Lonchura striata: one gene and its partner. The protein of the gene in region 2 interacts with the protein of the main gene of each other region in a pairwise test. Links are inferred from orthologs where the notes say so. Each region holds a gene or a part of one and is shown on either strand. Other genes may lie near its edges.

Region 1 (3,926 bases), on a different chromosome or scaffold from region 2:
GTAAGTCTGTAACCTCTCCAGAATACTCCATCAGAATGAATACACTGCGTAGAAATTATTAGTATTATGGAGAGGTTGAATCCCCTCATTTGATAAAATCATATTGGAATATGTTTCAGTTACTGCTCCCTGGTCTGGAGATGTAGCATCCCTGCATTAATTCACCTCTAGCAAGGGACCTAGTTAAGAATACCTGTTGTATGTTAAAAGTGAAAAAGAGATTCATGTTGAGGGATAAGTGGACCTTGAATTTGTATTCTCAGCCCTTGATACTAAAGATTGATTTGTTCCCCCTAAAATCCAAACCACAGCTGTTCTCAGCCTGTCTTCTGTTAGCTGTTTTCCTTGGTTGTCACTTCTAGTATGGATTGTACTGCCTTTTGTTGACATTATTTTTTTCCTCTATAAAATCAATGCTTTGGGAGACTACTTAGTTAGTTTTTTTCTTTCTTTATAAGCATTTTACTTGAATTTTGGGTTCATATAAGCTGTGAATGAAGATTGGTTTAAATGACAAACAATGCTTAGAGTTAGTGCTGCTTCTTCTTGCCTTTTGTGATGATTTTTCAGCTTGCTTTTGTGAAGTGGCTGGTTTGTAAGACTTGGGTTTAAATTAGTTACAGTTGTTCTATAGAAACTATTAAAACTCTGTTTAAAATATCAATTAAAAGATTTTATAAATAGTGGAGATGAGGAAAATAAAGATATTTATTCTATTAATTAGAGTGAATAGTGTTTCATGCCAGCAGGTAGTCTGTTCAGAACTGATAGTACTCATTGCATTTCGTAAGCCACTGTGCAAAGCAAGGGCTCTGTTCATTGCCTGTCCTTAGGAGCACAAATGATTGCTAGGAAATACTGATTGTGGCATTGTAGGATGCCAGTACTGGAAACCTGTCACACTAAACTTAATGTCAAATACTTTTTGATATGCTATCAAATAACTATCAAATAGCTATTTGATGTGTATGTATGATTAGAAAATTTAACATTCTGTGCAGATTGAACCCAATTCCTATAATAAAATTAATCTCCCCAAGCATTATTTTGTTGGTTTACATGTTTCTGGCAATATTAGTATAGCAATGTGGTATAAATTTGGGGTTAAGTGAGTTGAGAAACCATTTAACTTGAAAATTAAGTTGGTTATTTTAAACTCTCCTGCAATCTTGACTTTTGCAAATTCAATACAATACATTACCATAAACAATAATGAACAGTCAAAATAATTTATTCCAGTTAAAATCCATTCTGAATTTGTTATAAGCAATACATACTTTAAGCCTGCTTATTATCTGAAAACACTCTCACTGCTGTTGAGCAGAGCAGTTAGGTATATGTATGTTCATCACATAGGTACACAGAAATTCAGCTAGACTCTCTGGTTAAAAGACAGCATTGAGAAAACATATTGCAAAGAGCATAAAGCAGTCCATCTGTGTTTACAATGTTAGCAGATAATTCTTGTTAAATTCAGGCATAAAATTTTCATTCAGCTTAAGTAAGCCAGAGATAGATGTCATTATGAGATTTACATACCATTAGCTCACATCAGTTGATTAGCAGCTGAGCTCTGTGGTACAGGGCTAGTTAGATGCATTATTTGTGATGCCAGGAGGCTGCAGTTCAAGGAGGTTTACTGGCTGCGTGCTCGTTTCCTTTGCCTTTGTGATTACTTGATAAAATGCAGTGCATCACTGTGAACAATCGACCCTCTTGAACAGTCCAGACTGGTCAGCAGTCTAAATCCACATTTTAAAGCTGTCATTATAGCCTCAAATTTAAGAGTTTCCAGGGTGCAGACAAAGGTGTTGTCCTCCTTCAGTACCAGTCGTGTACCGTTTTCAGACTTTATGAAGTACTTGAATTGAATAATATTTGAAGATACTGAAAACTCCTCTGGAAATCCATCCAGTCTGCTTTTGGACACCAGTACAATTCTGGATTTTATTTTTGCAATGAATTCAGGAGCATTACAAAAGATTCTAAGTCCTTGTGAACGGTCGTGGCTGTCAGTTATTTCCAGGAAAGTAGTCTCTCGGGATGCTAGCTGTTCCTTCTCCCACCTTGCTTTCACTGCCTCTGAAAGTACCTTAAGCTGGAAGAATTCGGCTTCTTGTGCCAAAAGTTGATTTTCTCGAAACCCCTCTGGTAGAAGAAGTTCTCCGTTCCGTAGGAAGTTGAGGATGTGTCTGAAAAGGAGTCCATCTCTGTCTATGAAGTAATGACCATCTGCATCAAATGGGCACATTATTCTTCCATTTATGATCCCCTCCAGAAAAGAATCTGGATACTTGGTTAGTGTCTGTTTTTGTGTGATATATAGATAACCACCGACATTCAGAGTAATCAGAGACGTTTTATAGTCCTTGTCTAGCTCGGAGCTTTCAGAGTTGCTGGTTTTTTCTTCGCATTCATTTTCTCTCCTGCTTGCTTTTCTCTCCATTATTGAAGCTAGGACAACAATACAGCTATCCTGCTTTGCTCTTGTCAGCTTGCAAAGAGAATGTTTCTTATTAAAAAGCACCTTTATTCAGCTCCAGCTTGATGTTGGAATAGAAATGCTGCTCGCATTGCTCCGACTGTCAGCTTGGCTTTGCAGTAGGTGGCGTATCAGCTGTGTGTGCAGGGAGATAGCAGGAATATGACTGTAAGAGAGAATTTGCATTTAACTGTGTAAGGGAAGAAGCGTATAACAACTGTTTGTTTTATTTCTTTCCCTTAAGTCTAAGTAGTTTGCATAGCTTAGGGTGTTCTGCACAGAAATACGTACTGCTATACTAAATGGCAACTTATTTTTAATACTTGAAGATGTATTTGTAGTGTCAGCTGGCCAAATCATATTTTGTGCTTATGGTGTTAAACAGCTTCATTTGTGTTTCAAGGATTTTTATTTTCATGAAGCCTGTTTTTTCATGTTGTTTTTTAGTACTGATGACAGTACCTGATGCATACAGCAGGACAACAGAGAAATGAAAGGTGTCCCTGTGTGTATAAGGGGGGTATCATCTATGGAATGTGTGCATATGCATGTCATTTATTTATTTGGTATGTGTGCAGCAGTAAAATGTTTCCACAGAAGATACCCTGGAAGTAGTCCTAAGGACTTGATCTGATTGTTCCAGATTTGTGGCAAAAGCTTTTATTTGCAGTCAGAGGGTCTATCCTCACCATCACAAGATCAGCAGCCTGATTAGGTTTTCTTTCTTGCCTTCCTGTATGCCATAGACAAAAACAGTTTTACACTGAGGATTTACCATTTATATTGATGATGGTTTTTAAATCACCAAGACTGTCTAGCATCAGTTGCTTTTTTCTCAATAGTGAAACTCATCTGCCCTGTGGAACAAAGGGCTTGTGTGCCTACAGATAGCTTTGAACATCACATAACACCATAGCTTAGCAACACTGGGGTAGAGGGAGGCAGAGACATCGGCACAACACACTGAAATCAAATGCCTGTCTTCTCTCCTGTACTTTGAGCCTCCCAGTTGCCTCTTAGAAGATTTCCCCTTTAAATGTATGCAGTTTGGAGCAGGAAAGGAGAAGCTCTCCACACATCTCTATGAGTGTTGCCTTGGGGAGTGGACAGATAGGAGCCACTGCACGCATTCCCCAGCACAGGTGGGAGCAAAGGCTTTCCTTGGGTTAGACCTGGAGAGGAGGAGGTTCCATCTTCCTCCAGATGTATTTTTCACTTTACAGATAGATGTGTCCTGCTAGCAGTGGAAAGGCAGATTATTTTTCTGTAAATTCTTCGGCTCTAAGTATATTATTCCTACTGCTCCCACTGTCTATAAGGTTGTTTATTGATACCACAGAGTAATCACTGTACTATTTTATTATTTGGTAACTGACTAGTGAAAATAAATGTTTTCTCTAACTCTTCTCCTTGCCAGGGTATCCTATCCCTAGTGTATCCCAGA
Region 2 (3,926 bases):
GAGTTGTAAGCATGTCTTGTGCTGAGAGAACGAGCTCCAGCTCCTTTTCCAGTTGCAGTCAGTCCGACCTTAGGCATGCAAACTGCTTCTTCTCCACCCCCTTCCTCGCCTCTCATGGTTAAGCCTCTTATCTTATTTATACCTTCAGGCCCCACTTGAATTCCACATAATTCCCCATTTTCTCTTTAAACTGCTACTATAGATCTTGCAAAGGAGAGAGCAGTGAGGAAAACAGGTGAAAACAAGATTTGTCTGAAGATGTTTTAGCAGAACATCTTATAAACTGCCACAGAACTGCCACTTCCTTCTCTTAAATAAATACCAAGGGAAAGCTGTGGGGAAAATATTCAAGGAAAACCAGGAAGTTTGTCTTTAATTTGAGCAATATCAGTGTTTGTTAGAAGTGTGCAGGCTTTTAAGAGCCCACATTTGCCTAAAGAAAGCACCTCGTTGGTTCATAAGGCTCCTGAGTGGACAAGCTCTTCCAAAGTGAGCCTGTATGCCAGATAACATCTTCCAGGATCAGGTAACTAATGAAAGTTTAAAAGGGAAAACCCAGAATGTAAATTCCTAATCTCAGTTGTTGCCAGTGTTTATCTGAAGAAATTCCACTAAATTAAGTCCTTCTTTTTGCCAAGTCTGTAACACTTGACACAAACACCATTCCCTCTCCCAGTGTCTGTTTCCCTGTCCAGTGAGCACTAAGCTGTAACACCACTTTACTTGAACACAGAGGTTTCCTTCAGAACTTCTCGGCATTCACTATGAAACCAAGTATTGTTATGCCAGTTTTATGGACTGGAAAACTGCAGATTTCCAAGATGTTAGAAATTACTTCAAGGAAATATTAGTATCTGAGAATAATTCTGAGACAACCTTTATTGCTGGATGGCTATTTGTTATGAGTAATTTACTCTATTTACTATTGGAGGACTCAGTTGTCACTGATTTTAGGCCAAGTTGGATGGGCTTGCAGCAATCTGGTTTGTGGAAGGTGTCCCTGCTCATGGCAGAGGGTTGGAACAAGATGATCTTTAAGGTCCCTTCCAACCCAAACCATTCCATGATTCTGTGACAATGAATTTTCATATACAAAGCTGGATGCAGCCAGGAATGTTTTCTGTTAAAGATACTCTCCAGGAAGGCTGTAAATTCCTGGTTAAGCCCAAACCAGGCATGAAACAACTCATTTTTGTTTTGGGGGGCATTTTTTTAGCATATCAAAGAAATAAATGGAAGCATCAGTTCTCTGTAGAAGTACCACTTCCTCAAGAGGATATTGGGAGGATTTGGGTTATCAGGTCCTGGACCATTGGATGGGGAAAAGGAGAGGTTGCTTCCTTTTTTAGTATCGGCTGCAGAGGATGAGGATGAGGATGAGACTGCTTCTTCCAGGGAACCTGGGAACAGCTGAGAGTGTGTAATTTCCTGGGGATGATCCTGGAAGCAGTGATGACACCAGTTCTGTGGTGGGATACCAGTTCTCTCATCAGGTTATCAGGTTCCAGACCTGCACTGCCAAGGATTCAGTTCTCCAGGCAACACCAGGAGAGCAGTTTTGGAAGTATCAGAGCTTTGGAAGATGTTCATTGCCAATGAGACTGGTGACTTCAAGGTGTATCTATGTAATAGACAAATTATGTCCAAGACATAATCATATTGGGATGATCTAGGGGATTAATTCATGTGGAGGAATGCTCAAGGTTTGATCAATATTGGTTCTCCTGGGTATATCCATCTTAGGAGGTATCAGGTGAATTTAAGGAACTTGGTTCAGGACAGTATCAGAATCAGTATCAGTTCAGAGAACTTTGGGAAAACTCAGATGGTTCAGAGAAACAGCAGCTTTTCCTGAGGGAATCAGATTTCAAGATTGTAAAGCGAGTTTGGGGATTTCCCCTGGGGTATGTTATGAACTGTGGGGGAATTATTGGATAGATTCAAGGGAATTGAATATCTAAAGGGGTGAGTTTGCAGACAGCAGAATTGGTTTTGGTGTCCAAAGGAACTCCAGGAGAGCTGGAGAGGGACTTCAGACAAGGCGTGGAGGGACAGGACAAGGGGCAATGGCTTCCCACTGCCAACAGGGTAGGGATAGATGGGATATTGGGAAGGATTTGTTCCATGTGAGGGTGTCAAGTCCCTGGCACAGGGTTCCCAGAGAAGCTGTGGCTGCCCCTGGATCACTGGAAGTGTCCAAGGTCAGGTTGGACAGGGCTTGGAGCAACCTGGGATAGTGGAAGGTGTCCCTGCCCATGGCAGGGGGTGGAATGGGATGATCTTTACGGTCTTCTAACCCAAACCATTCTGTGATTCTATGAATATCATTGAGTTTAGGAGTCCCAAGCCTTCTGTGGATTTTGAGCAAAGTCTGAGGGAATACCAGATTCCCAGAGAGCGTCACCAGGGGATACCAGGTACCACCTGAAGCAGGTGCAGGGAGGTGCAGAAGCCCGTTTCTGAGGTCACCCCTCAGGGGGCACACACAAGGCCAGCCCACCTTGATCCGGGAGGCCTCCCGTGGGAAGCGGGCACAGCGGGGGTACAGTGGGCGGGCGCGCTCACCGTGGGGTCCTTGATGGCGCAGCCGGGGAGGAAGGGCAGCCCAGGCCCGGGCCCGATCGGGGGCCCTGTCCCTGTCCCCGGCCGTATCCCCGGCCCCGGCCCCAGCTCCGGCTCCGGCCCCGAGCTCATGGCGGCGGCGGCGGCGGCGCTCCGGGCCCGGCCTGGCCCACGCGTCTCCACGGCAACCGCCCCGCGCCCAGTGCGCATGCGCAGCGCCCTTCGCGCCTCCGCGTCTCCCCGCGCCTGCGCAGTGAGTGCCAAGGGCGCGCGGTCGCCGTGGCAACGGGGAGGGCTCTGAGGGGCCGAACCGCCCCCCCCACCCGTGAGGGGAGTTCGGCCCCGGAGCGGGGAAAAAAGACGTGGAAAGCGTTCATTCTGTTTTATTAGGGAGTTTCCCCTCACAGCCCCTCATAGTCCACTCGTATCCCACTCACAGACTTGCATATCCCCCTCGTGGCCCCTCATAAACCCCTCACATTAAAACATTTTGCGGGTGGTGGCACCTGGACTGCTTCTTTTGGGGGAGTTTTCCCTGCCGTGTGCAGTGTGCAGGGTAACGATCAGCTCTGAAGGGACAAATCCATACCTGGAGAGATTGAAATATTTTAACAGGAGTGATTGTGCCAGTTTATGATGTATATATACATGTATTAAAATGTATATAGTTGTGAAATAGTGTATTTTTCATATGTAGCACTGATGTAATTCCTCTCTTTCAAATGTGATTTTTATCTCTGGAGGAAGGGGCTAAAAGAAGCATCAAGGATACCATCAAGGAAAAGGTGGATGTGCAAAACTTGACTCCTAAATGTAAGAGAGAAAACAGCTAAATCCATCACCATGGGAAACAGAAATTATCTGCTGCATTTAGAAGTTGTGGATTCCCCAAAAGACGTGGATTCCTCACCCCTGGATGCATTCAGAGCCAGGCTGGACAGGATTTGAGAGAAACCTGGTCTAGTGGAAGGTGACCCTGCCCATGGCAAGAGGGTTGGAATGAGATTATTCTGAATGTCCCTTCCAACCCAAACCTTCTGGGATTCCATGAAAAAGAAGGTTTTTGTGCATCTTTGCTTTTTTCTCTTTATCACCACTACACCAGGCAAGCCAGGCTGTGATTCAAGGGCAGGTGGCAGATCCAAGGGTTTTCTAAGCAGAAGTTAAGCGGGGAGAATTGCAGCCAGACTGTCTGCCTAAGCATGGTGTGGGAGAGAGAAAAAAGCCAGACGTGGGAGATAAAGAATGAGGCTGATGAGCTTAGAAAGGAAAATAATGAACTGAAGGCCAAGCAGGGCTTGAAGAGTTGAATCTGGAGGACAGCAAAGCTGTTGGTGTGATGATGGCTGACTTAGACCCAGGAG

The links.
Region 1: the proteins of EFHC1 (region 2) and KCTD4 interact in binary tests that used the Homo sapiens proteins (3 or more experiments, as listed by UniProt). The two-hybrid records come from large-scale screens. The link is inferred for Lonchura striata from reciprocal best matches to the Homo sapiens genes EFHC1 and KCTD4.

The regions. Positions count from the first base shown.
Region 1 is NC_134604.1:60,949,831-60,953,756, forward strand, and holds the start of KCTD4 (BTB/POZ domain-containing protein KCTD4), read right to left. Parts: upstream 2,634-3,926; 5' UTR 2,447-2,633; coding exon 1,673-2,446; 3' UTR 1-1,672.
Region 2 is NC_134605.1:110,378,590-110,382,515, reverse strand, and holds the start of EFHC1 (EF-hand domain-containing protein 1), read right to left. Parts: upstream 2,695-3,926; coding exon 2,566-2,694; intron 1-2,565. UniProt on the Homo sapiens protein: Microtubule inner protein (MIP) part of the dynein-decorated doublet microtubules (DMTs) in cilia axoneme, which is required for motile cilia beating.